Coturnix japonica: one gene and its partners. The protein of the gene in region 4 purifies or fractionates together with the protein of the main gene of each other region. This does not show direct contact. Links are inferred from orthologs where the notes say so. Each region holds a gene or a part of one and is shown on either strand. Other genes may lie near its edges. The genes, in order: VCP, RAB3GAP2, TACC1, VAPA, PITPNM1, ACBD5 and STK3.

What was found.
Region 1: the proteins of VAPA (region 4) and VCP purify together in Homo sapiens (affinity purification with mass spectrometry; 3 studies listed by BioGRID, with this or other methods). This does not show direct contact. The link is inferred for Coturnix japonica from reciprocal best matches to the Homo sapiens genes VAPA and VCP.
Region 2: the proteins of VAPA (region 4) and RAB3GAP2 purify together in Homo sapiens (affinity purification with mass spectrometry; 3 studies listed by BioGRID and IntAct, with this or other methods). This does not show direct contact. The link is inferred for Coturnix japonica from reciprocal best matches to the Homo sapiens genes VAPA and RAB3GAP2.
Region 3: the proteins of VAPA (region 4) and TACC1 purify together in Homo sapiens (co-immunoprecipitation; 4 studies listed by BioGRID and IntAct, counting the BioPlex papers as one, with this or other methods). This does not show direct contact. The link is inferred for Coturnix japonica from reciprocal best matches to the Homo sapiens genes VAPA and TACC1.
Region 5: the proteins of VAPA (region 4) and PITPNM1 purify together in Homo sapiens (co-immunoprecipitation; 4 studies listed by BioGRID and IntAct, counting the BioPlex papers as one, with this or other methods). This does not show direct contact. The link is inferred for Coturnix japonica from reciprocal best matches to the Homo sapiens genes VAPA and PITPNM1.
Region 6: the proteins of VAPA (region 4) and ACBD5 purify together in Homo sapiens (co-immunoprecipitation; 4 studies listed by BioGRID and IntAct, counting the BioPlex papers as one, with this or other methods). This does not show direct contact. The link is inferred for Coturnix japonica from reciprocal best matches to the Homo sapiens genes VAPA and ACBD5.
Region 7: the proteins of VAPA (region 4) and STK3 purify together in Homo sapiens (affinity purification with mass spectrometry; 4 studies listed by BioGRID and IntAct, counting the BioPlex papers as one, with this or other methods). This does not show direct contact. The link is inferred for Coturnix japonica from reciprocal best matches to the Homo sapiens genes VAPA and STK3.

The regions. Positions count from the first base shown.
Region 1 is NC_029547.1:7,814,796-7,818,185, forward strand, and holds the end of VCP (transitional endoplasmic reticulum ATPase), read right to left. Parts: intron 3,383-3,390; coding exon 3,074-3,382; intron 2,151-3,073; coding exon 1,995-2,150; intron 1,635-1,994; coding exon 1,480-1,634; intron 1,079-1,479; coding exon 973-1,078; 3' UTR 613-972; downstream 1-612. UniProt on the Homo sapiens protein: Necessary for the fragmentation of Golgi stacks during mitosis and for their reassembly after mitosis. Involved in the formation of the transitional endoplasmic reticulum (tER).
Region 2 is NC_029518.1:16,350,872-16,354,519, reverse strand, and holds part of RAB3GAP2 (rab3 GTPase-activating protein non-catalytic subunit), read right to left. Parts: intron 2,635-3,648; coding exon 2,529-2,634; intron 1,434-2,528; coding exon 1,273-1,433; intron 712-1,272; coding exon 495-711; intron 142-494; coding exon 1-141. UniProt on the Homo sapiens protein: Regulatory subunit of the Rab3 GTPase-activating (Rab3GAP) complex composed of RAB3GAP1 and RAB3GAP2, which has GTPase-activating protein (GAP) activity towards various Rab3 subfamily members (RAB3A, RAB3B, RAB3C and RAB3D), RAB5A and RAB43, and guanine nucleotide exchange factor (GEF) activity towards RAB18.
Region 3 is NC_029537.1:3,755,194-3,759,340, forward strand, and holds the start of TACC1 (transforming acidic coiled-coil-containing protein 1), read left to right. Parts: upstream 1-1,289; 5' UTR 1,290-1,304; coding exon 1,305-1,516; intron 1,517-4,147. UniProt on the Homo sapiens protein: Involved in transcription regulation induced by nuclear receptors, including in T3 thyroid hormone and all-trans retinoic acid pathways. Might promote the nuclear localization of the receptors.
Region 4 is NC_029517.1:88,627,461-88,631,108, reverse strand, and holds part of VAPA (vesicle-associated membrane protein-associated protein A), read left to right. Parts: intron 1-1,623; coding exon 1,624-1,727; intron 1,728-3,333; coding exon 3,334-3,414; intron 3,415-3,648. UniProt on the Homo sapiens protein: Endoplasmic reticulum (ER)-anchored protein that mediates the formation of contact sites between the ER and endosomes via interaction with FFAT motif-containing proteins such as STARD3 or WDR44.
Region 5 is NC_029520.1:567,605-571,869, reverse strand, and holds the start of PITPNM1 (membrane-associated phosphatidylinositol transfer protein 1), read right to left. Parts: upstream 2,925-4,265; 5' UTR 2,665-2,924; coding exon 2,587-2,664; intron 1,819-2,586; coding exon 1,604-1,818; intron 1,533-1,603; coding exon 1,411-1,532; intron 575-1,410; coding exon 353-574; intron 258-352; coding exon 1-257. Other genes in the region: CDK2AP2 (cyclin-dependent kinase 2-associated protein 2), read right to left, coding at 3,212-3,279, 3,366-3,498, 3,595-3,671, 3,901-3,970. UniProt on the Homo sapiens protein: Catalyzes the transfer of phosphatidylinositol (PI) between membranes. Binds PI, phosphatidylcholine (PC) and phosphatidic acid (PA) with the binding affinity order of PI > PA > PC. Regulates RHOA activity, and plays a role in cytoskeleton remodeling.
Region 6 is NC_029517.1:14,463,813-14,468,010, forward strand, and holds the start of ACBD5 (acyl-CoA-binding domain-containing protein 5), read right to left. Parts: upstream 2,906-4,198; 5' UTR 2,771-2,905; intron 2,534-2,770; 5' UTR 2,494-2,533; coding exon 2,418-2,493; intron 1,431-2,417; coding exon 1,310-1,430; intron 1-1,309. UniProt on the Homo sapiens protein: Acyl-CoA binding protein which acts as the peroxisome receptor for pexophagy but is dispensable for aggrephagy and nonselective autophagy. Binds medium- and long-chain acyl-CoA esters.
Region 7 is NC_029517.1:115,653,792-115,657,439, forward strand, and holds part of STK3 (serine/threonine-protein kinase 3), read right to left. Parts: intron 1,441-3,648; coding exon 1,248-1,440; intron 1-1,247. UniProt on the Homo sapiens protein: Stress-activated, pro-apoptotic kinase which, following caspase-cleavage, enters the nucleus and induces chromatin condensation followed by internucleosomal DNA fragmentation.

The DNA of each region.
Region 1 (3,390 bases), on a different chromosome or scaffold from region 4:
GCCTCGGCCATCGGAGGGCTCCGAGACACACAGCTCGAGCCTGGAGCCCAGCTGTGGGCTACAGGGCCACGACACGGAGCTGCTGGCCGTGGGAGCGATGGAAGAACCCGGCCGAGCTGGCAGTGCTGCCCTGATGGCATCCAACCCAGGTGGTGCAAGGACACACAGGCACAGCGCTGGGACGGGTCTCTGAACTAGGACAGAACACCCGAGCAGGCTCTGCCTCCCAGGGGCTCCCACCGCCGCCTCCTGCAGCCACCAGCTGCTGGTTGTGCTATTTAAGCACTGCTCTCAATTTTGGCTCCTTTTTCCAGTCTCCCCTTTTCCCCTGGCTAGCCCCATCCTTCCTGCCACACTGCGATTCCTCTCACCCCTCATTTCCTTCCCTTTAAGTCCAGGTCATCTGATGGTGCCCTTCTAAATGTCTTTACAGCCAAATCCCCATGGAACTGCCCAGCAAACCTATGGGCACCCTCATTGCTCATTCCTATGCACACAATCCCTATTTACTCATCTCTGCAAAAACCCCAATCCTGCAAGCCCCGGAGAGAGCACACAGCTACTCTGTGCTTCTGACAGCCTAAACACAATCAAGGAATTGCAAGAGCCCAGTTAGAGTTTTGTGGGATTTTATTCTTTTTTTTTACTATTATTTTTGTAGGGTTTTTTGTGTTTTTTTTTTTAATACAGGCTAGCGTTGCACCCTTTGCTAAAGCTGCTGATTCTGCCACATAAACTAGAACAGAAATTTCTCAGAAATTAATTCGGATCCCCTTCTTGTTAATTCACTGTCTGCTTCACAACTCAACATCGGTCTGGATTCGTGTTTGCAGAAAACATCCCCTTTACAAAGTCTGGCGTGCACCTACACTGTTCTGACTGAGGAATGAAGAAGCCAAGAGTCCATTGAACGTTGGATTTTCCCTGTACAACGTGGCCTGATCTGGAGTTTGGTCCACTGAGGACAGTGAGTTAACCATAGAGATCATCGTCGTTGTCTTCACTGTACACGTTGCCCCCGCTGCCACCTCCTGTTCCTTGACTCGGCCCAGCGCCTCCCTGGTTGCCTGATGGGAACCTGCACACAGCAGGGCAGAAGGGAAGAGATGCAGTTCAGAAGCATCCTCACAGCTCAGCACAATCCCCTCCCTCCACATCAACACCCTGATGCCAAGAAGGAAAATCAGGAGAAATGTGAAGCTTATGGCATGTCACGATAAGGCTCATGGTGGGGCCAGATGTTGCTTGCTTTAAAGGAAAAAGGGTTGATGGGCTTCAGGAGCACTAACAGAGCACCTGCACCTGGCCTGCAGTGCAGCTTGTACCCACCACAGGCTCAGCTGTCTGTATGTGCTGGGGAGAACAGGAAAAAGCAGTGGAAGAGGGATTGTTTTCAGAATACACCAATCCTGCCCTCACTCGGCGCTCTGCTCCTGGGGCTCACCACGTCACACTGCCCTCCCCACTGCCCTCAGTTACCTGAAGCTGCCAAAGCCGCGGCTCTGCTGTAGAGTCTGTGCAAACATCTCGTATTTCCTGATGTCGTTGTCGCTGACAGAGCGGCGAGCAAAGCGCATGGCCTCCTCAAAGTGATCCCTGCGGATCTCAGGAACCGGGTCGTCCTCCTCCACTTCCTGCAGCAGGACAGAGAGCTGAGATGAGCCACGTGCAGCTCAACACCTGCCCACACCTCCCTCGGGGTCAGGATGCATCAATACCCACTGAGGCAGGGGCTAGAGAGGGATGCTGCAGCACACTGACTCACAGCTGCTGCAGGGGCCTGCTGAGCAATGCCAGTGATGAGGCACCATAGGAGGCCCTCACCCTCCCACAAGAAGAGAACAAAGTGCTCCAGCTCAGCACTCTGTGCCAAGAGCCTACAGCCTACTCGTCCTCATCTGAGGATTACTGAGAGAAACACATCATCCCTCACCCACAGGCAGAGGTGGGCTGCCTATCTCGTAGGCAGGGAAAGCTCAGAGTGCCCCACTCACCATGGCAGAAGGGTTGGTCTGCCTCTCGCGTTCTCGTCTGATCTCACTCTCAATGGACTCTCGGATGGCCAGTTTACAGGCACGCTGGCAGATTTCTGTCAGGTCAGCCCCCGAAAAGCCATTGGTCATCTTGGCTAGGAAATCCAGGTCAACATCCTGGCAAAAACAAAACACAAGAAAAGCTTTTACACTTTGTACTCTCAAATGACAAAGAGGTGCCTTGAGATCTTACAGTAACAAGGCGCTACCTCAACTTTGGCCAGTAGGAAGAAGGCAAGCTGTTAAGGCTCCTGTTCCTGGTAGAAGTATGCTACACAGTAGGGCAGGCCGTGCTTCCCCCCACACCCAGCAAGAACCTGATACGTGGCTACAAATGTCCCCCCTCTGTTCCACCTTCAGTAAGAGGTAGGCTGACTTGAGGATTTCAGCCACAATTGGTTCAGATCTCAGCAAAAGAAATCAATGGAACCGTTTCAGACTGGAAATGGAGATGGGGCAAAGGGAGATAAAGAGGAACATCCTCCTCCCTTCAACTGACACAGTGGCACTGGAACCTCCTTTGAAGCTTTCCTTCCCAACAGTACTCAGAAAGCTAAGCTTGGCCTAAGGACGTTTGTGTGCTCACTTTGCATCTGCTTTTCTCTAATACGTTCTATCAGTTCATTATTGCCTGCTCCCTAGGCAAGGGATATAACTTTGTCTATGAAAGAGTTCAGCAATTAACTGTAGTGGTTCCTCTTCAATTTTCATTTCCCACCCCCGTTTTCTACATTTACTTTTTCAGAGTACAAGAATCCTTTCCATCTTGCCATAACAGGCATTTCCCATTCCTGCACCGTGGGCAGAACTCTACTATGTGATAAAGACCTGCTGTGCGTACACACTGCTATCTCGCTGCACTGGTACTTAGTTTTAGATCTCAAGCCTATCCCTACCTCTTCATTTCCATCTTTCAGGAATGGAAGGTTTCCAAGCTCTGTGTGTAGCAGCCACCAACCCTCTGTTTGCCCCCAAATCATTGGAAATATGTGCAGCACATAGCAAAATCAAATCAGATACAGCATCAGCACAGATCCTACCTTAGCAACTGGTGATTTCCTCAGGTTGGCTTTAAGAATAGCAACCCGGGACTTCTCATCAGGCAGAGGGATGTAGATGAGTTGATCCAGGCGGCCAGGGCGCAAGATGGCTGGGTCAATGATGTCTGGCCTGTTGGTAGCACCAATGATGAAGACGTTCTTCTTGGTGGACATGCCATCCATCTCTGTCAGGATCTGGTTGATAACACGATCTGCAGCACCACCACCATCTCCAATATTCCCACCTCGAGCCTTTGCAATGGAGTCCAGCTCATCAAAGAAGAGCACACAAGGGGCTGCTTGGCGGGCCTGTAAGG
Region 2 (3,648 bases), on a different chromosome or scaffold from region 4:
GCTCCTCAAGAAAGACACTTGCATGCATTTCTTCAGATTCTTCAGTATTGTCTGTATTGTTCCTGTGCTGCGCCAAATTCAGTACAAGAGGATTGAAGCCTTGCTTAAAAACCCACTTTGCTACAGTGTCAGCAATACCTCCTGGGACAGTAAAACAACAAAGAAGTATTGAAATACACTCAGGGTACATCCCAGAAGATTTAAAGTTCAAAACTGAAGGACAACAGAAAAGAAATGGCTATTAACTAATACTGTTAATTATATAAATTTAACATTACCAATCCAAAACGCATTAACCAACTGACTTGAAGTTTACAATCCAGTCTTTACAGTAATACCTTTTATCATTTTGATACATGGTTTGCTTTGTTTTTAAGCTAAGAAAAGTTAACAGCAGAATAATTTCCAGTGCAGCCTATTTCATAAAGTAGATATGGAAGGCTCAGAACTGCATAACAAAGACAATCAACCATGCTTCCATGAGAAAAACTTACCTTTTCCACCTTCCAGCAATTTCTTAACAGAAAGCCTGCCCAAAGGCTCACTCTGTAGAGATGAAACTTTTATTGTCTTCTTGCTCACTTTGCTGTGCAGCAGTGTCTGAAGGATCAGACAGTCCTCTAACTGTTTCAGCAGAAGCTTCCAATATTCAGCATCAAGGGAAAGTGCTTCCCAGGATTCTGTGTCTGAACCTACAGCTATTTGGGAAAACTAACACAACATATTAAGTGGATGGGTAAAGCATAATACATTACAACGTACCAGTGTTCCTATTTGGGCAACACTGGAAATTTCAATATACAGAATTGGATTAGTTAAGATGAAGGGAGAGAATTACTACAACAGTTCCCAGCAGTCTAGATACGACCTATAAAGCAACCCATTTACAAGTTTAAACACCACCTAAACCTCATCTAGTCTTTCAAGACGAGCAGTAAAACTCAGACATTTAGTGCTACTTAATGAAAATAATTCTTCCATTTGTCTGAAAACAGCACAGGATTTGTCAGTATTATTTGACAGCAAGGGAAAAATTCACAGTATAATTCCCACATAGTACATATAGCAAACGCTTCTGATAAATCACTCATTTACCTCAACACGTTATTATTCAGATATAAATACTGACTTTCAGGCTTGCAGGATGATATGCCTGTATCCATGTTAGAATGGCAACAGAACATTAGAGGTGTTACTCTATGACAAGGACAGCAGTTTGCCTAAAACAGACACAGTGAATACAGCTGAGGGGAGAAGAACACAATGACTGACCTTTTTCTCTGTCACACTGTCAATTATCTGTGCGGTAACTGAATGTCCAACATAAGCAGACAGTAAGGCAGCTGCGTTTCTTTCAGACTGAATACAAGCTGTTCGCATTTGCTGCCACCAGGGGGAAACTGACTGAGTGTCCCAGGACTCATCGATGGCAACTGTGGAGAAAAGGAGAGCAAGAAAACTCAGCTTGGGTCATGAGGTGTTAGAACTAGTAAAAGCAGTAACCAACCCTGAAAACAGCACTTATTGATACACCATGCATTAGGAGCCATTTCCAATTACTCTAAGTTACCTTTTTTTTTTTTACTTTTTTTTTTTTTTCTTATGATACGTAATATTTTTAGATTACAACTCTATTAAAAATTAGGGGAAGAATGTGGATTACTCCTCCAAGTTTAACTCATAGAAAGCAGGCAACAGATTAAATCACTAGGCAACAAATCCTGCTGCACCTACTAGACTTAAGGAATATTATAATACAACTCTTCACAATACAACTAGCTTCCATGTGATTTTAAGATGTCCCACACATTCAGTACGCTCAACCTGTCTCTCTCCACGTGCAGCAGAATTAAATTGTCCAGACAACAGCAATAACATATTCATGCTACCAGTTGCAAGCTGATAATTACACCCTGTGGTGAACTGGACATAAAGGAACCTGACACAAACATACCCATAGAAGCTCTCAATGAGCTAAGAGAATCAGTGATTGTTTATTATACAACTTACCCAAAATAATGGAAAGCTGACCTTACAGATCACCCCTCAAACTACAGAGATATTCAATGAACAAACACAGCTAGAATAACAACAGCATCGGTCTCAACACAAGTTAATGCAACTCAAAGGATTTCTGAGCACCCAGCAGCACAAGAGAGAGGGGCATATCCATGCACCTCAGAAACAGAGGGAAGGTATCAGAAGAGCCACCTTCTGATGCCTAATATTAGCTGCATCCACTTAGAGCTGAGTGAAACTGCAAGGCATGAAGCATGTCTTTAACTGCAACAGTCCTCAGACTTCAACTATATTTTTGAGGTAGATGCCAAAGAAATCATCATTATGAAACACTGAATCCTGTTACTTTTTTTTTTTTTTTTTTATTTTTCCTTTTTTTCTTTTTTTTTTTTTTTTTTTTTTTTTTTTTTTTTTTTTGAAGAGGAGGAAAACCTCAAAATAATATAGACTCAAATTACCAACAATAATTGGCATTAATTGTGTTTAAATGTTCCTAATGCACATTTCACCTTTCATTTTGCTCAGAAGGGTCAGCATAGTGTGAAGGCAACTGGTAGAGTCTGGTTTCTCAAGAATATCTTTTTCTTTGGAAAGCCATAAATTCAGAAGGAGTGACTAGAAAAAGAAACACAAAATTCAAACAACAGATTGAAGCTTTTTGGTAACGCAGTATATCTAATGCAAACAATTCCTTGTGCAAGTTCTGTGTACAGGAAGTAAAAAATGTACTGAGCAAGACAGAATCTTGCAGACATTAAGGGAAACAATACAATTACAGTAGAGGTTTAGGTTAGATATTAAGAGGAAGTTTTTCCACACAGAGGGTGGTGGAACACTGGAACAGGTTGCCCAAGGAGGCTGTGGATGCCCCATCTGGGAGGCAATTCAAGGCCAGGCTGGATGTGACTCTGGGCAGCCTGGTCTGGTGGCTGGCGACCCTGCATATGGCAGGGGGTAGAAACAAGGTTATCATTGTGATTCTTTTCAACCCAGGCCATTCTATGATTCTATGAATACAATCAGTATATTTCAATTTGATGCACTGGCAAATAGTCTTCTGAAGGCACAGACAGATCACACAAGTGTATGAGCATTCTTAACTTGGTAAAAAAAGAATAAATTCCCAGTTAATATTACAGCTGAAAATCATAACAAGATAGCTAATATTTAAATATGTATTTCAGTCATTGGAAAGCATTAGAAAGAAAAGCAGCAAACAAATAATACTGCATGCAAATGAAAGAAAGATGACTGTCTCAACACCACAAGTGATTCTGACAGATTTACTTTGATTTCTTTTCCTTTTTAAATTTCATTGCTTTCAACAAGGAATTTGTAAACAGCGTCTCTGTAACTGCAATTAACTACTTTATTTTTGCTTCTCCTTGTAAAATAAATCTCATGCAAAATTCTAAAAGAATATCTGGAGCCATTCAGACATTCTCACATTTTCTACTATATTTTTTTCTCCTTTCACATCTTTTAAGTTGCTTAGATTTAAGCTCAGCACTTAAAAGCTGTGTATGAGGACATGGAAAAGACAGTCCAAAAATAAAACACTCCTTTTTTATCTTCTTTTCCCCCCATTTCAGCATTTAACCAGAAAGTTTTAAAGTGTGTAATAAATAC
Region 3 (4,147 bases), on a different chromosome or scaffold from region 4:
GCTCCTTTTCCAGGCAGCAGCTTTCCGAGGAACTCCGGGGACAGGTGGCAGAGAGTGACGGTGCTGGGACGGATCTGTGCTGGAAAGGTAGGAAAAAGAAGGGAGCTGAGGGCTGAGTGCTTGGCAGAAGGATGGAGGGAGGAGGAAGCAGGGAACGAGGTGTCCCCGGGCAGCCTTGGTGCGGAGATGGTCACAGAATGATGGTCCCCAGCAGCCCCTTGTGGCAGCTCGCCCTGCTGCCCGCTCTCGTGGTGCTCCCACGTTCTCTGCATGCGCTCAGTGTTGTGGCTCTGTTTACGTTGCTAAGGAGGAGCTGTGTGAGCACCCTGGGATGCTGCGTGCCGGCGTGGGCACATCGGGCTTCGTGTTGCACGTCAAACTGGGTGATGAGTTGCTGCTGTGGGAGCCTCACTGATGCTCTCTGTGCTCTCAGACCTGAGAAAACGGCAGCAGGAGGAGGGTTTGGGCACAGAGTCCCTGCATCAGGGCTGCTGAAGTGGTAACCCACCAGTCAGGCAACTTACAGCCCAGTGCTGCAGCTCTGGGTGGGTTTGGGGCAGTGCTGTTTGGATGGAAGGCTCCATTGAAGTATTTAAACACAGCCATGTGACAGCCACAGCTTTGAGTCACCGTCCTCGGAAACCCCAATGGAATTCTGCCCTGGGGTGGCAGCGAGGGCTTGCAGTGCCTCCTTCCCAGGAACATGGAAATTTCCATGGGATTGGCCTAAAGCTGATTATTCCCATCTGCTGCCCCTCAGTCAGCAGCCAACCAACAGAGCCGAGCACACAGTGTGGGGCACATCACCCGCTACGGGGACAAGATGTGCTGTGCATCACGATGGGCCCACGGGGCCCTGGTGCCTTCCTGCAACCCAAGCACGCCAGCATCAGGCTGGTCAGGAGACTTTGTTTTCATCCAAGGAAGGTTTTCTTTATAGCTTTCTTTTTTTAGGAAGGTGAAATCTTGCAACGGTGTCAACACTTTTCTAGCTGAAAAATAGCACAACCCAAACCAGAGCACTAAGGGAAAAAAAGGAAAGGTTGAATATGTGAGTTTTTCTCAGGGCTCCGTGGGCGTTGGATGCTCAGGTTGTGGGTGCGACCTGACGGTGCTGTGCTGAGGCTGCGGGTCCAGCAGTGCTGCCCTGGGTTGTCAGCTTGGAGCGCGGCTTTGAGTGCCGAGGGTAGATCGGAAAAGCAGCTCGTGGCTGCACGGAAAGAAAAAGGAGTCAGACAGACAGGCAGGAGCCGTTCCCTCTCGGTACAAACTCGTGGGGCAGATTCCCATCGGCGCCGGGTCGGATGCCGCCGCTCCGGGTCCGCCTGCGGTGCGGTGCCGAGCAGAGCCGTGCCGTCCACTCCCCCGCGGAGGCGGGGACGCCGTCGGGGCCGGCACAGCGCAGCGGTAGCTCGGTCCGGCCCGGCCCGGTGCTGCCCCACACGACCCGGAGCTGCGGTCCCGCTATGGGGGCGGCTCAAAGCCAGAAACAGCGGGACGGCTCCGCCGAGCGCCGGTGAGTGCGGGACCGGGGGAGAGAGAGAACCAGACCGGGGCTGATCCCGGTGCTGGGGATGCCACTGCAGTGCTAAGGGGTAGAGTTTGGTTTGGAAACTGCAGAGCAGGAGGAAAGTGAGAATGGAGTGAGTGAGTGAAAAGCTTTCCTTTCCCTTCCCTCTTGTCTCCCTGCTTTCAGTGTTCCTGACAAAACAGGCTGTTTCCCGTTTGTTGTCAGCACACTGAGTTTCTCGGGCTGCAGCTCACCCCTGCATTGCATGGCATAAATCACAACGCGAGGAGCCAGGAGTGCAGTTAAGAAAACAAGGTGTGGGGTTTGGAGCTGGAAGCTGGGCTGTAACCGGGAGTGCTGTGAATTACCGACGGAGTTTGGGAGCTGGGAACAAAAGAAAAGCACGCTGAATTGTGATCAAAAGGCAAACCGGGGAGGCTTATCTTAAAATCAGCCCGAACACTTAATGGAACACAGGAATGTTTGCTCCCACTGAGCCGCCCCGTGGTGCAGAAATAACTGCTCTCGGGAGGTTTGCTGCTGTTCTGCTCAGCTGGAAGGCTCTGGGGGACCTGGAGGGTCCGCAGTGCTGCAGGTGAGCGGGGAGCACCTGCCCTGCTTTGCTTTGCTCCGGAGCTGTGCTGGGCTGTATGGAGCAGGTGCCCTCTGCTGCTCCTCTGAATGTTTGCAAACATTCCTCTGTGAACAGAGGGAAAACAACTGCAACAGGGAAAAACAGGAATGTTCTGTCCTCTGCTGCTCCGCAGCCCTGCCTGTTATTTCCTTGTATAGTTCTACTAAGTTAGAGGTGTTCCCAGGCAGAAAAACCCAAGGCATTGTTCCAGGGCTGCACTGGAGCAGCGCTGGGATGCTGCAGGGCAGCTGTGCTCCGTGCATGGACAGCAATGTGGAGATGCTGCCCGTGTTTCACAATATCTCCAAGTCTGAACTAAAATCCAGCAGCCTGACAACCCCCTGATAAGAGCATTCTTGCCACATAGCAGGGATATTTTTAGCAAAGGAGTGGATAGGGTGGATAGGACAAAGCCAGGAGGTGAAGGAAGGTGCTCGTGTTCATACAGCATCGGTCAGAAATCACAAGTGAAACTCACACATTTCAGGGCTGTTTCTATTGAATTGTTTTGCATGAGCTCATGTCCACACGACTGGGATCAGTGAGATGAAGCCCTGCACATTGTTTGCAAAGCGCAGGACAAGCAGCGTGCTCCTTTTCGCATCGCTCCTTTTGAAAGCAGCCATAAATGCTTGCACTCATTGGCCTGACAGCTGCGTGGTGGGGAAGGACAGCTGGAGCTGGGGGGCTGCTGGTGCTGTCAGGCTCATATGTGACAGTTGTGTCCTTCACTGCTATTTTTACACAGCTATTTTGGTGGAATGTGGAACGATGGGAACTGTCACAGGGATGGAAACCTGGGGCTGCTGCACCCTGGTTGCTCTTTTTCCCTCCCTCTGCGTTTTCCCAGGGCCCTTTCTGACTTAGGCAGAGTTCTCCTTGGCTGGTCTCCCAGCCCAGGTAGGTGAGCTGCAGATGAGAGTCATCAGCATTGATCTCTTCAGCATCACTGCACAGGTCAGGGAACATATTACAAAACAACATCCTCCCTAGCGTTTGCAGGACAGTCCTTGCTGGGCTATACAAAGCTTTGGGTAGTTTTCCTCATTCCCAAAGTTGGCATTTTCACAAGGTAATGGCCTGTGCTGAGCCCAGGTGGGGTGACAGCAGTGACACAGGCTGTGTGCTCAGTCTGCCCTTCATTCTGCTTGGAGCTGCTGGCAGCTCTGTTTGGAGCAGGTCAGCATCCCCTGCAGAGATGCATCTGCAGGCTGTGCCCGAGCCATAGTGTGACTGATGCAGTCAGGTTATCTCCTCAGCAAATGATTTGCAGCCAGTGCTGCTGCCAGGCTGGGTTGTGCGCCAAGCTGGAAAATGCCACTGGAGGCGATTTCAGTATTGCTCATTGCAGACAGCAGGTGGAAGCAGGCTCTGCTCGTTAGCTGCTCCCAATGAGCATTCATCTCACTGACCCCACTCCTGCTCCTTCCTCTGAGGCTGCTGGGAGTGGGGCCCGCTCTGTGTGTTGGTGCACAATGGAAGGATGCTGCTGATTTCCTCCATTGGATGTTGCTGATTTCCTCCCACATCCCCCGTACAACAAGTGGGTGCTGCTGCAGCAGCAGCATCTGTGCCATGGCTGATGCAGATCCCTGTGGCAGAGGCATCGTGCTCCCACTGCTGCTCCTCTGCCCTTTGCATTTCAGTTTGCTCCGTGGCATCCCTGCAGCTGTGAGCCGCTCTATGGCGCAGCAGTGCTGTCACTCCAGTGGAGTCTTTTGGGTCAGCAGCGATCTGTGAAGTGACTGATGGGAAGGGGAGAGGGAGGAGGAGGAGCTGAGGCTGCAGCCAGCTCTGCTGCAATGTGCTGCGTGCTGCCGTTCACAGGCTGAAGAGGCTCGTTATGTAAAATTCATCCGCAGAAATCAGCCCTGCTGCTTCAGATGGGGGGGAAGTGGCTGCTTGTTTCTGCTCGGCACAAAAGCAGGCAGGAGGATGTTGAGGTTCTGCTGCTTCAGCCTCTTGTTTTTCTGCTGATAAGCTCTGATAAGTGCTGCAGGCCA
Region 4 (3,648 bases):
CAGATTCCCGTTCATAGGACTCCATAAGTACATAATTCATTTTATCTGAATTACTTGCATTTATCTTAGTTTTACATGAAGATGCGCTAAACTTGAGTTTAATTTCAGTGAGACTCAAGTTTAAGTGCATTGTCAAATAATCTATCTTTACAGATCGCTCTGGGTCATCATCCTCTGGTAGAAAGCTGGAAGTTCTTAAAGTTCTTATTGTCTAGACCCCTGTCTGGATTGAGACTAATTGTCTTTCATGGTCTGCTCAGTGGAGGCAGACTGTGCTGGTCATCTATTCATCCTTATACTTCAGTAGTCCTACAGTGTTACTATGACAAACCTGGTATGCTCAGATATTCCTTATACTGTGCCCATTACTCCTATAGATAGGCAACTACATCCTATAATGTTCTGGTCTAATTTAGAGACATGATTTTCAGTCACTTTGAACTAAAGAAACCACAAAAATAATGACACCAGGGTGACCTGGCTTCCCCTCTGGGCTGTTTTCTAAACAAAACCACCTTCACTAACAGGAAAGCAGCCTCCTAATGGCTTTGTACAGTTTGGATGGATGAAGATTCTGCACTCCTGTAATTGAAGCATTCCTTTAAAAATACCGTAGTAGTGTAGTAATAATTGAGATTATGAATAATATTACGTTGATATTATTTATTTTTCCACTGAAATTGTGCATACTTCAAAATAACAACTTTGAAATGTGAATTTCCCTTCTTGACCAACAGAATTTTCAACTTCAGAAAGCAGTTATTCAGAAATTGTCCTGTCACAAAAATAACCCTTGTATATTCTATCTCTGGTAATTGTAGTACGAACTCTGTATTTTAAGTATTTAATCTTTCACTTGCAGCTGCCTTTACAGAGAGCTTGGTTTTGAATTCCCTCTTTCTCCGCTGGTAATATGTAGAATTCAAATGCATACATGGATTATGAGTACTTTTAGGCAAATGTTAGCTGTTAGGCTGGACATAAGGATAATAATGTCAAAACCTGTATAAAATGTGTTTTCTAGTTATTCTCAACTAATCACTTTATCTTTTAAGAACTGAATTTGAAACTTCTCTACAGTGAACTGTTAAAGGCCTTGACAGCATTACTTCTTTTAATACTTCTGGTTTTAATTAAGTATTTTAGTAGTTGCTCCTAGCTTAGATCAGTATGCCTGTAGAAGTCAGTTGAGCTTCTACTGGTTGGTGGCTAGCCTAATGTAAGTTCTCTTCCCTTTCTCCCTTGGGTAGATGCCATGAAGTTGTTGAACTCATTCCAGAGTTCTTTTACCTTTGCATTCACTCGGTCACAAAGTGTTTATTCCAAGGGAAAATCCTACGGTGTTTATTTGCTCTTTGTCTTACAGGATGTATTTGTTTTTACTTGTATCCTAAATGTCTTCTTGTATAGTAGGTGGAGAAAGAATCTTTAAAGCTACACTGTTAAGGTGTTTCCTCTCATTACTTATTGCTACAGTGTGTATCTACAGTGTTTTCAATGTTCCCTTCACATCTTTACTTTTGGTGTCTGGTCAATGAGAATCTGATGTATAGCTTTTTTCTTTTTTTTTTTAAGAGTGATTTGATCATGTTCTTAAATGTTTTATTTTACTCTTTTGAACAGTAATGCTGCAGCCTTTTGACTATGACCCAAACGAGAAGAGTAAACACAAGTTTATGGTACAAACAATCTATGCACCACCAAATATTTCAGATATGGAGGCAGTGGTAAGTAAAAATTGGATAGTATGACTAGTTTGGATTGTTTCTTTAAAATCAGCCTTAACTTTAAGTGAATCACATTTTGAAATGTTTAGGTTTTAGAAAATTGAATTTCCTCTGAACAAATACCATTTCCATAAGTGATTCAGGGTTTTTAATACTAAATACAAGCTCAGTTCTCAGAATTTGCCTATTGAACTGTTTAAATCAAAGTACTAGTAAATCAGAGGTAAGGTCTGTTCAGTGTTTAGTTACTGTTGTATAGTATCTGGTCTGCAGCTCATTGGGAGGGAATAAATAGGTTGTATTTAAAGGAATCAAGGGTATATGCAAGCGGCAAGCCTGAAGTTGTGTGGAATGGGTACATTTGGACTAAGAAGCGTTTATCTGAAAAGTTGAATGGTATTGTAAGGAACCAAAACATTTGAAGGATTATTCTGCCTCTCTCAAAGACACCAAGTGGCTACATGCAGCTCAAATGATAGATTTATTTTCTTTATTAGTAGAATGAGTTGTGTATTCTGTTTTTGGGTGGGACTGGTCTGATGAAAGATCCAGAAAGAGCATATTTAGTTTTGCGCCTCTTAATTCAGAAGGACAACTTAGAAGCAATTGGAATGCTGTCCTTCAGTTGCAGAACTTGCTCATTAGAGTATACATGGGCTCCCATGAGCTTGTATATATCAGAGTCCAGGGGAATGATGCACAGGCCCCTGTTTCTAAACACTTCCCTGAGTTCACATGGTGATTCATGCAGTTCCATGCTCACTGAAGGCAGAGGAGGAGAAGGTAAACAAAGTGAAGATAAGGTTTATGAATCATTAAAATCCACTAAGCCTCTGCAGGCTTAGGTTCACTTCCCATATGTATGAAGGCAAAGATTATTGTGGTATTTCTCTGAACTGAAAACACTGGAAAAGTTTTTGTTAAGCTTTTGAGGCATGCAGCTACAAAAATAATGTCTCTCCTCTTTGTTGTCTGGTTTACTTATTTTAATATGCTCTGATAGCTCCTGTTTATGTGTGAGAAGTGAAGCATCAAGCATTTGGTGAGAATATAAAAATCCATTTTAGAAATACCTTTCGAATAGTGGCTTTCTCAGTGTGTTGAAGTAAAGAATATCAAGGAACAAATCTGGCAGAAAATCAGTAATAATAGATATGAGTTAGTGTGCAGTTAATGCCAACGATGAAAGAGAACTAAAGAAACTTACTGTGGAGCTAAGTATAGAATCCCTAAAAGTGTCTTTCAGTAATTTATTTAAAGTGGGTGCTTCCAGGATAGAATGTGAGGAACACATGCAATGAGCATTGATAGACCAACTCAGATGGTGCTCTATGTCTGATTGTGTCCTACAGATATCTGGATCTGCCTTGACATTCACTTGACTTGATTCCGTTTTCAGGCTTAAGTTGAGCCATGTCTGGCTTTTAATACTTTTATAGTAGTCAAAGGTGGACAAAAAGTGTTCAAAAGCAAGTCTGAAAATGTCAGCTGGGCAAGGATAGTATTCAGTTTTGTAAGAGTTATAGGGAAGCCGTAATTGCAGGCTTATGAACTGTTCAGATTTGTGTGCGACTGGCTTATTAAATAACTGTGTTACTTGTTTTAGTGGAAAGAAGCAAAACCTGATGAGTTGATGGACTCCAAATTGAGATGCGTGTTTGAAATGCCCAATGAAAATGATAAACTGGTAAGTAAGAAAAGAGTAAAAAAACCAGACAAGTTTCAACTTGTTTGAAACTTTTTCTTAAAGCTGTTTGATTTGTTGGTTAAATGAATCGTTGGAACCTACTAAATTAAATGGGTTGGGTTGTATAACAACGAATGACTGGGTTGTATAACAAGATATGGGGTGAACTACGTTAAATTTCAGGATGAGTACTGATATTCTTTGTGCATGGTTTGCGTGTTGTAGTGCAAACAC
Region 5 (4,265 bases), on a different chromosome or scaffold from region 4:
GTCATCGGGGGAGATGTCGGCAGTGCCCTGAGCCTCGGTGCCCTCCTGCCCGCTGGCACCTCCTGGCTCTGGCCGCCCCTCAGGGCAGGGCCCGGCGGTGGAGGGCTCCTCAGCCTCACCACACTTGGCCATTTTCTGCGCCAGCATCCGCGCCGTCTCCTCCTCCAGCTGCCGGATGTCCTCCATGGTCAGGTCAGTCCACTCATCCTGCCAGCACCAAGCCTGGCGGTGTGCACGCAGCATGACTTTGCGCAAGCCTGAAGCAGGGGGAGTGAGCAAGGCACGGCCCCCACCTACCAAAAACCCACCATCCCCACAGGGCTTGGGCTCACCGCCATCGCCCCACGCTCACCAACATCATGGATAAAACGCTCGATTTTTGACTGCATCCCCCAGTATCTGAACTCGACCTTGCACAGCTTATAGGCACACATCAGCGGCCCGCTGCTGGCTGCCTCCAACCAGTTATCCCCCAGCGGGCCCCGGCCTGTCTTGGCTGAGCGGTAGAGTTTGGGGTCCTCCTCAGGTTTATACTCCCCAGGGGAGATGGGATCACGCACAATGTCAATGGTGTCTGGGGTAGAAGGAGAAAAAGGTGAGGAAAAAGCCTGGCAGCAAATCATTACCACACATTGTGTGCTCAAGGTGGGACACCCCTCTGTCTCCTTGAGCCTCTGTGCTTACACGGGGGCCAGAACCGCTGCCTCAAGGAGCAGCAGCAAGAGGTGGAGGCGGGGGGGTGGTGAGGCTAAGAGCTGGGCTGACACACATAGGCGCATTAGCATGGGGATTTGGCAGCTGGAGAACGACAGCAGTGACCCCAGGGGCACGGGGGGGTGGGGGTGGGATGCAGAGGACAAGGCCAAACAAGGCAGCTCAGAACTCTGCTCACTGCCTGCTGGTCATGGCAGCAGGGACAAAATTTGTCTTCCGCCTTGGCCGTGCCACCAGCATCCCAGCCGGACATCCCCAATGCTGTGAGAGCCAATGAGAGAAATAGGTCAGATGAATCATTTCCTCCGAGTGCCTATTTTAGGCCTCCATTTTAGGAGGAGAGCATGACGCGCTGCGCTCCAGCGCCCAAAACAACCGTGTCGACACTGCCAGGAATGGGAACAGGCAGCAACAGGGGGACAAACGTGTCCCTGGGGGGAACAGTCTGCCCCAGGTACCCAGCATAGGGGGGCTGGGAACGGGAACGACACTGTGCAGAGTCCTGGGGGGCAGGAGAAGCAGAAGACAAAATGGGGACACAATTCCTTAGCTCCCTGCCTCCAGCTGATCCTCAGGACTGGGCAGGGAGCTCAGGGTACGGGCACTTTCCCCTCCAAGGATAACTTAACCTGTCCCTAAAGCACAAGGTTAGCAGAGAAAGCCCCAGATCCTGCCTCCTGCCCCCGCTGCACGCACCTAAGATCCTCTGCCTCTTCTCAGCAGCACTCAGATTGAAGATATTGGTCTGCTGGCCGGCATCTGGCCGGTAGTACGTCTCAATCTCGATGGAGAACTTCTCCACAAAGGGACAGGTGTACCTACAGGAAGCATGGGGATGAGGCTGAGCCCAGCGGACAGCCCCCAAACCTACATTCCTATGGGGTCCCACCTTGTCCTGGTGTAAGGATATGCATTCCACGATTCCTCTTCGACTCTCAAAGCTGCCTTGGGCAATATTGACCGAAACCAGCTGGGTATGTGGGAGCCCACATGGTAGATCTTATGGGTGTACTGCCCGCTGCCACCGGGGCCATCGCTGTAGGGGCGGTTTGCCAGGATCTCCACCCCGCTGCCCTCGCCGCTGGATTCCTCACGGCTTTTCTTCTGCAGGGTGAGGGTGAGCTGAGCTCCAGCACCCCAAACCCTGGCATCTTACCAGGCATCTAACGCCACCCCCCCACACCCCATTCCTCACCCTGCACCCCCACCTCAGCCCCATAGCTATTCCCAAGACCCCCACTCTGCACTCTGAGAAACAGGCTCAGCCCCATGCCTCCACATTCTATTTCCACAACAACTCCAAGCCCCCAACCCCGCACCCTCCTCAGCCCCCAACCCTGCATCCCTGCACCCCTCAGGCTCCATATTGCCCTCGTATCCCTATTACTCTTAACCCCCACCACTTCAGATCTCCAATCCCGCAACACGCTGACCCCCACCCTCAACCCCTTCTCACCCCATACCTCTCAGCCCCAAATCTCCACCCTCAGCCCTGGGCTCCCACACAACTCCCAGGACCGCATACAACCCCCAAGCTCCATACTACCCAGAAACAGCCCCCTCCAGCTCTGAATCACCCCAACCCCCTCTCTCTCAGCCCCATAATTCCATAGCTCCCCATAGCCCCAGCTCAGCCCTAACCCTCACTTTCTGCCTCATCCTCCTGCACTCCCCCAGACTCCATAAGAGACGCCTCCATCCCCCAGACCATCCTCAACCCCCCAAGCTCCACATTGACCCCCATATCCCTCAGCCTCGAACCCGCTGACCTCCACCCTAAGCCCCACATTCCTGCACCCCCCCACGGCTCCACACGATCCCGGGCCCCACACGACCCCCCCCCCCGGGCCGCAGCCCAGGCCCCATCCGCACCTGGATCATGTAGAGCTGCGCTACCTGGTACTCCTCCAGGCTCATGGGCAGCAGGATGTGGTACTCCTTGATCAGCATGGCGCCGTGTTTAGGGGAAGGGGCGAGGGGTGGGGGGGGCTCCGCGGCCCTCCGCCGTTAACCCGGCCCCGGCCCGGCCCGCTTCGGCCGGGCCCTCCCCACTGCCATAGCAACGCGCCCCCCGCCCGCTCGGCCGCGCTCTCGGCTCCCTTCGGCTGTTTCCGTCACCCTTCGGCTCCTTTCGGTTCCCTTCGGCTGCGCTCGGCCCCTTCCGAACCTGCGCCGCTCTGAGCCGGCCCCGCGCTGTGTGACGTCACGGCGTGGGGGGCGCCCGCTGACGTCAGGAGGTGGAACAGCGTGGGGGGGGGCGTGACGTCAGAGGGGACGTCAGAAGCGGGGGGGCGGCGGACCGGGAAATTAAAACGGAGCGGTATATATGGGGAATTGGGGGCTTGGAAGGAGGATTTCCTTTATAAGGGGGGGGATGCAGCACGTCCTTTATTTATAAAAGCCGGAAGGTTGGGGCGGGGGGAGCCCCGGGGGTGGCCCCGTTCGGGGGGAGCCACCGGCGGGGCTCGGGGGGGGGGGGGGGGTCGGGGGGCTGCTGTCACGTGCGGGCGTTGCGCTCTGTCTCGGCCAAGCACTCCCGAACCAGCGCCCGAGCGTGGATGATCCCTGAATGGGGGGGATATGAGTGAGCACTGAGCTCCGGGCTTAAGGGGGGGGGAGGGTCACAGAGGGTCGCCCCCCGGGCTCGTTACCCCGCTTGAGCCGCTCCATGGCGCTCTTGCTGCCGGCGTAGGTGGGCCGGATCTCCCTGCCCATCTCCTCGATGACAGACAGCAGGTCGCTGTAGGTGCTCTGCGAGCCCGGAGCGCCGGGCGGCTTCATGGTCTGACAGGGGATGGAAGGCGAGGAGGACGGAGGGGGGGGGGCTCAGCGTCGCCCCACGCCGCCCTCCCGCCGCGTGCCCCTGCCCCGCGGGCTCACCTGCACGTAGCCCATGGACGGCGGCCCGAAGTCGTTGAAGAGCGGGCGGAAGGCGGACGGCGAAGGGACGCTGGGAGCTGCGGGGAGCGACCCCGGGTCCGGCCCTTCCTTCGCACTGGGGCCGGGCCCGTCACCCCTCAGCCCGGCCCCGCTCGGGCCCAGCTCCGTCCGCTCCCTCCCTCAGCCCCGACTCCCCTCCGCACTCTCCGTCCCTCTCCCTTAGGCCCCGCCGCCCCTCAGGCCTCGTGCCCCTCCTTACGCCCTCTTCTCCCCCCACCCCCGCTCTATCCCCGGGGCTCCTCTCACCGGCGGCCGTGGCTGCGGGCCCCGGGGCGGGGCTGGCGCTGGGTGCGGGCGCGATGGGTTTGTAGGACATCCCGCAGCGCTCCGGGCCGAGCGGCGCCCGCCGTGTGCAGGAGACGGAAGCGAGCGGGGCGACCCCCCCCCACAACCTCCCGCTGATTGGTCAGACGGAGCGACCCGGCGGCGCCGATTGGTCGACGGCACGAAGGGAGCCGGCCTGCGCTGTCGGGGGAGCGCGGTGATGACGTCACGAGGCGCACGCCGCCGATACGCAAACATGGCGCGCCGGGCTCCCATCACCATGGAGACCAGCGGCGTCCTGCACCCCCCCATCACCCCCACCCCCACAGCGAGGGCCAGAGGCCTCC
Region 6 (4,198 bases), about 74 Mb from region 4:
TTTTTTAGCCTGGCCTTAAATAGGTCAGTTATACAATGCTAAAAGTTTATCTCATACAAGAAAAACTTAAAAAAATAAATAAATTTAAAACTACCCATTGCTGTTAGGTCCAAATTTGTAATTTACTCAGATAACTGAAGTAGCGAGACATACACACAGAAGAAACAAAATGAACAGCCTGGGGACTAAACAGCTCCTCGCTAATTAACCATGATCTTGTGCCCAGTGATGTTGTTTACAAGTCCAGATATTATGGAAAACACACGCTTCCCTTTTGACTGACTTAGGACCCTCTACAACAGAAAAAAAAGTAGTGCCTAATACTTAGCTGGTACCTACAAATATCTGTCACAATGTCAGTCAATGTCAGAATACGCTACAACAAGAGTGTTGTCCTTTGCATATGAGTTTAGCAACAAAGATGCACCTGTCTAATAGGCAAATAATTTAATCGCTGCCCCCAGCTACCACCATATTTAACTCATGACCTAGAAAATACCTACCTTTCCAGTTCTGCAAGATGGAAAGTGTCAATCAAACTTTTTAGCATTGCAGAAAGAATGCCAGAACACAAGCTGAAATAAAGCATTTCCTTACCCAGTAGTGCACTCATTTTGACACTATCCTTACCTTTTGCCAGACTACTTGTCCCACTTACAGCAAAACCTCAAGGCTGGGGGATCACATTTCAGCCACCAACAGCCAGATGAGTGGGAGCTTACTGCCCCAGTCATGCAAACATACCTTCCCCCCAATTCACAGATCCCAAGAAGACCCTGACCATAGAGACAGCAGTAATTGCGACTTTTCAGGAAAAATTATTAAAATAACTTAATTAGAGGAGAGTTCATACGGGTTCTCAAACAGATCTTCACAGCGCTCAGAAGGCTTGTAATTGGTCAAAGAAAACACAATCAGCTGCAAGTCCTGTCACTGAGCACATGAACCAGGCACAAACTAGACTTCACCCCAAGAGCCTGAAGCTGTATCAAAAGCTTTCAGTGAGCATCTGTTTACTTCATGCTCACATTATATAAGAAGGAAGAATTTCAGACACTGTTCTACAGTCACACTCTGCAGACTGCCTGGTTTTGTTTTACAGTGCTGATATACACTGCGGAAACATTACGATGGTTTATAACCCCCCCCCCCCAGAAAAAGAAATCTGAGAGAGAAACACAAGAAGAAAAACAATAGAATATCAGAGATTTTAAAAGAAAATGGAAAAAAAATATATTCCTTTTAAGAATTATTCTTTTTAACACCTCCACCCAAGCATAGGAAGAAAAAAAAAGTCATGAAAAGTTACCATTTATATCTACCAATAGGATCCCAAAATCCAGGTCTTGGAATGTTACATGGTCCTTGTGTTGCTTGCTTATAAAAGCTATAGAACTTCAGCATCATTTCATTTGTTGGCTGGAAAGAACCTAGTGAAAGCATTTTAAAATACAATTAAAGTGTAATCAAGTATTTTAGCAAGTATTTTGTAAGCCTAGCATTTCTGTCAGAAAACAGCCTGCAGTTTATTCTGGCCTCATTCACAGCAGTGCAGTTTAAGTCAATGAAAAACATCTTCACTTCATCTACCTCGAGTCACCACGCTGACAATATTTACTTTACAAACAGGTAGCAAGCTGCAGATCAAATAAGGGACTATAACCTTTACTGCTTCTAACGTCAGAATCCACAATTAGCAAGAGGAGTAATAAGTAACAAAGAGCAAGGCTCCTTTCACTTAGTTTAAAGGGGCAGATTCTGCTTCCAGGAATGAGTGTGTCAGAGGTCATTTTCATATGGCAAACAGGGATCTACCAAAAGACTCCAGAATGTAGAGCAACAATAACTCCTCCCGCATTGCTTCTGTGTACTTGTTATTTGACGGAACTTCCAATCACAACTTCATCGCTCTTCCATGTTTTCTTCTCTCCTCTTCCTTTGCAGAGCAAACATTTGTAGGGGTAGGAAATGTAAACACAAAACTGCAATAACTGGCAGAGAAAATTCATACTTACCCCTTTAAAACAAATATTCTGGATTTTTGTCATTAAGGGATGTCAGCAATGACCTTTAGTCCCAGCTCCAGACAAACCCCACATTACTTATCACAGTAACCAAGAGGATACATTTTGACTTTTCACTCCGCTGTTTTGTTAAACATTTCAGCAGAAGAAACCCATGACATCAGCTCCCAAACCAAGTCAGGACCTGAGGAAGGCCCTTCCTCCGCTTTCCCCGCACAGAGCAGCGGCCGGCACGGAGCCGCAGCCCCCTCCTCCGGGAGGAACTTCTATTCCGAGTTCGGAAGGTGCCGAACTGGCGTTTCAGACACGGCCCCGCTCCCCCCAGCTCCCTCCGCCGCACAGACCCCAGCCGGACACCCCCCCCCCCCCCCGCCGTCCCCCGGCCGCACTCACCATTTTTGGGCAGGCTCTGGATCACCTTCACGGCCGCCTCGAAGCGGGTGGCGTGCACGGAGCCGGTCTCCGCCATCTCCCCGTCCCGTCCGTCACCGCTCTGCCGCCGTGCCGGGCTGTGTCACGGAGCGGTACCAGCTCAGCCTCCCCCGCCGTGCCCGCAACACGGGCAGGGGCAGCAGGCGCCAGGCCGCCACCCCACCGCCCCCCGGCGGCAGCGGGTGCCCGGGCCCGCCCCGCTTCCCAGCGCTCCCCCTGCGGCGCGGTGCAACACACGGAGCTGCGGCCTGGCCTCGCCTGCAGAGCGAGCGCGACCCCCACAGCCCCCAGCACGGCCAACAAACCACCCCTACCTTCTCCCGTTGTTAGGCGCCCATGTTATGTCTCCCTCAGCAGCGCCCTTCCCCTCCCATCGCACCGCCCCGGGGCCATCCGGGGCTGGCTGGGAAACGTAGTCCGCCGCCGCCCGGCTCTGTGGCCCGGTGTGTGGCGCTCGGCTGGTTCCGAGCCGCCGGCAGAGGCCTCACCCCGCGGCCTGTCCGTCTGCTGCCGCCTCCAGCTGCGGGATGTGCGTGAACGATCTCAATTACTTACATTTAAAATCCCATTCCTTAATTTTTTGAAGCCTAGAACCATAGAAATAGCTCCTGCTGTGGTGTTCGGAATGAGTGCTCTCGCAATACGATGAGCCACCTCATAGCTAAAGAAATGCCCTTCCTGCAAAGCACTGTGCATCCAGCACACGAGATCAGACAGAAGTATTCTAAAACTGATTTTGTAGCAAGTGGAATGGTTTACCCAGTGAGCCTCATGATGTATTAATAACACCTCCACACAGAGCAGAGTACAAAACCTTGCCATTCCAGTTGATTCCTATATCTGGTGCACAATAAAATGTATTTTAAATTCTTCTTAAGGCAGTTGCACACTCACAGTATGTGCCCTCTGGTGGGAAAGCAAAAGCTCCACGGAGAGGGAATTAATGCAGATCAGCCCATGCTCTGCTGAGCTACTTTGTTCCACAAGGTCAGCAGCCAGCTGGGCGGGGAGAGCTTTGCTGGAGAGCAGCTTACACTTTCAGAGGTGTTCGGATAGGATTCCCTGCACTGAGCAAAGGACAACCCCGAGTTATGAACATCGCTGCTCCACCCACATGGATGTTACATTTCTACTGCTAGATTTCTAAAGCTATTATGTGTTTTATACCAATACCCATCTTCCTTTCTATCCACAAAGGCAGGAATGACAGAAACATGGATCAAAGGGAAGTTTGATGGTAAGTGGGTCTCTGTATAAATATGGATTCTTTCAGCGTGCAAAGCATTAACTGTAAAAAAGTAATATGGAAACGAAGGCCCTCTTGTGAGGTCAGATGATGTGTAAATTCTATTTACCTGAGAAAATCTGTAATTACATTTGCCATTTAATTGATTTAAGAGAAACGCAGTCTGCGTTTTTATAATGAACATTCCCAGACTTTCACTGAAAGTGAACTTTAAAAGAGATGCAAATGACGACCTGTTTAATGGCTGTGTGCAAAACAGAGGCCGCCATCTTTGCACTGAAGATGTGCAAGAACTGCAAATCCAGAATGAGGCACTTGAAAATGAAGTAACTCAAAATAATCAGTACCATCATGCTCTGAGACATGGGTGAAATATTAAATGAGAGGCAAATTATGAGTGCTGGTGAGCCCGTGAGAACACATCAGAAACAACTATTTAATTTAAATGCTTGTATATTATATTAACTAGCATGACATTAGCTGCCCTTATGTGTAC
Region 7 (3,648 bases), about 27 Mb from region 4:
CACCATCACTACTCACTTCCTTAACTTGCTGAAATGTGTTAGTCTAAGATCACTTGATCTACCCCTCCATTACCCTCACAGTTTAATAGGTAAAATACTGTGTCAGCATAAGAACAAATTAAAGCGCGCACTGTTTGCATGAGGTGAATCACCCTGCTCAAATTAAACACTAATCAACAAGTCGATTGCTTTATTGCTACAAACACTGAAGGAAAAAACAAGGCAACAACAACAACAAAATAACAAAGAGGGAAAAAAAGCAGAAGTGATCACATCTTCCTCTCCTCCCAATTTGCTGTACATTCAACAACAAGGAAAACGCACCTGATTTACACTTCCAAACAATCTTTTCAACCAAATTATAGCAGGTTTTTGCACACAAACAGAAATGCAATCTTGTTTGATATAAATCATAAAACGAATTTATTTAAACAGTTGCCTGGAGTTAAGCATTGAATTGTGCCTCATAGAATCAAGCACTAAAGCTACAGCATCACCTATAGATGCTGCCCTTTCAAATTAATGATTTAACTTAAAATCAGTGGGAAGTCTTCAGCCAAGTAACAAACAGATCAAATGTAAACACGTATGTTTGCTGTCTAACAAACACGTTATACACATCTCAGTCCAACTGACAAGTTCATCATTTGAAATCCTTTTCCCCCCCCCTTTGTTATATAATCTTTCACACCACTGAAGTTGATTTTGACTTCTTAATTTATTTCAATATGTTTTGGCCATTCCCTTAAATCATGCATTAGCAAATTAAATTTTAACAAATGCCCATGAATTTACAAAATAATTTTGCAGCAAGATCTGCAGTACTTACTGCTGAATCCACGGTGCGTTGCAATGAGTTTTCAGGAACACTAACACTGAAACAACACCTCCCCACACAACCGCACCATTTGAGTATAGCTCCTTGGAGCTGCTTCAAATGGATGCAGGACAGGAGGCAAAATGCAAGTGACAGGTAGTAGAAGGGAGAATTCACAGGAGGCTACTGTTTGAGTCCTCCAGAAAGACTCATCAAAATACTAAAGCCAAGTGTAGTACTTTGAATCTCCCACTATAGCTGCTCTTCTCCAATAAGGAACAAAGTGTGTTTATAGAAACAAACAGCCCTCTCCCTGACTTTTAACCACCGAACTTGACTTTTAAAGGACACTGATGGTAGACTATTCTCACAGAAGATGAGAAAACACAATGCATTATTAACAGAAAAGGAAAGTAAACAAAAAACATACTTTTCATGGTTCCATCTTCCTCTTCGTCATCGTCGCTATTTATTACCATGGTCCCCAGGTCTGACTCTAGCATGGTACTGTTGTGTTCAATCATTGTCTGAGCGCCTTCACTCATCGTGCTTGTGGCCCGCATGGTACTAGCACTCTCTGAATTGGTCTTCACCATGGTGTGCGAGTCCAGCTCATCTTCATCCTAAAAGAAACACTGGTCAGAATGCAGCAGAGCATTTCAGAAAACCAAGTTAAGATGCAATAATTTAGATGCTTATTCATTGTTTTTTAATCTCTTCACATGACCTAGCTATACTGCTAGACTAACAGGTTTAATACTACCAAAAGAATGTGAAAATAAAAGGCAACCTATAACGGTAAAAGAAAAAACTTCATCCTATGCCAGCTTTATAGCGCTATTGATTTACCAGAAACATGTCCCACACAATCACTTTTATACCCAGCTTTGAATATCTCACTGATCTTCTGGACTCGGTACACTTCTCCGGGACTAAAAATCAGTAACATGTTTTGTTTGGTTGTTTTGAAGCAGATCATCACACCAAGGCTATCACCCTTAACTAAATAATATGTTTTTTATCTAGTATCTTGACAACAACCTGTCTTGAGAGACCACCATGAAGAGGAGCAATCCCAAGCACAAATATAGGAGCAATCCCAAGGAGATGGATCTGGCAGTGATGGCTGATGGAAGATTTAACATGAGCTGTCAGTGTGTGCTTGCAGCCCAGAAGGCCAACCATATCCTGGGTTGCATCAAGAGAAGGGTGACCAGCAGGTCAACAGAGGTGATTCTGCCCCCCTGCTCTGCTCTTGTGAGACTCCACTTGGAGTACTGCATCCAGTTCTGGGGCACCCAACATGAGAGGAACATGGAGCTGTTGGAGCAGGTGCAGAGGAGGGCCATGAAGATGATCAGAGGCCTGGAGCACCTTGCCTAGGGAGACAGGCTGAGAGAGCTGGGGCTCTTCAGCCTGGAGAAGAGAAGGCTCTGGAGGGACATTATAGTGGCCTTCCAGCACTTGAAGGGGGCCTACAGGAAAGCTGGGGAGGGACCTATTAGAAGGCTATGTAGAGACAAGACAAGGAGAAATGGTTTTAAACAGGATGAGGGTAGAGTTTGACTAGATATTAAGAAGAAATTCTTTACTGTGAGGGTGGTGAGACTCTGGAACAGGTTGCTCAGTGAGGTGGTGAGTGCCCACTCTCTGGAAGCATTCAGGGCCAGGCTGGATGGGGCTGTGAGCAACCTGGTCTAGAGGGAGGTGTCCCTGCCTATAACAGGGTGTTGGAACTACATGATCTTAAGGGTCCATTCTAACCCATTCTGCGATTCTATGATTTTGAATCGATGTGCCAGGAATGTAAAACAGAGAAATAATGACCATCCAGTTAATGAATTATTAATTTTATATGGAATATCAATATTTGAAAATAGTGTTGGGAAATGCCATTCATTTTTGCAGTTTGATTTCAACCATGTGCACAACAGCACAGCACTTCATGAATGCATACAAGCATTTTCTACATGAGTACATTTTTAATGCTTCTCTCATTGACTAAACAAGAAATAATGCCCACCGCTGTCAAGACACTGTATGCCAAATTTCGAAATTTTACATGTAAATACTATGTTCACTGATTTTATAAGCTTCCCAATCCAACTGAAAACAGTCATGTATGTACACATTCTCTCTACTGTAAATGAACTTCAATTGCATCCTGATACAAAATATCTCTGGTTAGGAAAGTATGCTCATATCATAAAAATATCAGGTAACATTATTATGTGCCTATTACAAGTAACATGCCTGTTGTTACACAGAACATTAAAACAAGATTTTACCCGAAAACTAATTTTTCCTTTTGCTAAATATGCTTCATATTTTAACTACAGAACAACCTGTAAGGAGTGCAGAAAGAAAGAAACCCAGTTACCCAATTCTCCAGCTCTGGCCCTTTTTATTTCTCACTGAACTAGCTCTTTTCCCTTCCTGTTATTCCCTGACATGGCACACAACTTGCCTGTTGTACAAATGGAATTGCAAGGAGCAGCTACACTGTATGAGTGCCTGTTTCACAAATGGGTAGTCAAAGTAGGTATGGAGAACCATATTTAGTAAGAGTACCAATAGACCAGCTCCTACAACAAGTTCTGTTATGTCTTGGCCCAGAGACACAAAAACAGATCTCACTTGGATTCAGAATCTAGCTAACAACACAGTACGCTGAAACCAGGATACAGAGCAGATTTGAATAAACTGTCAAATACCAAAAGAATCATAGCTTCCCACATTATAATTTGTAAATATTTCAGAGTTCTTAAATTTCATTTCTAACCTGCACACTAAAACACTCTGTGTAGCACCATACCCTTAAAAACTCAAGA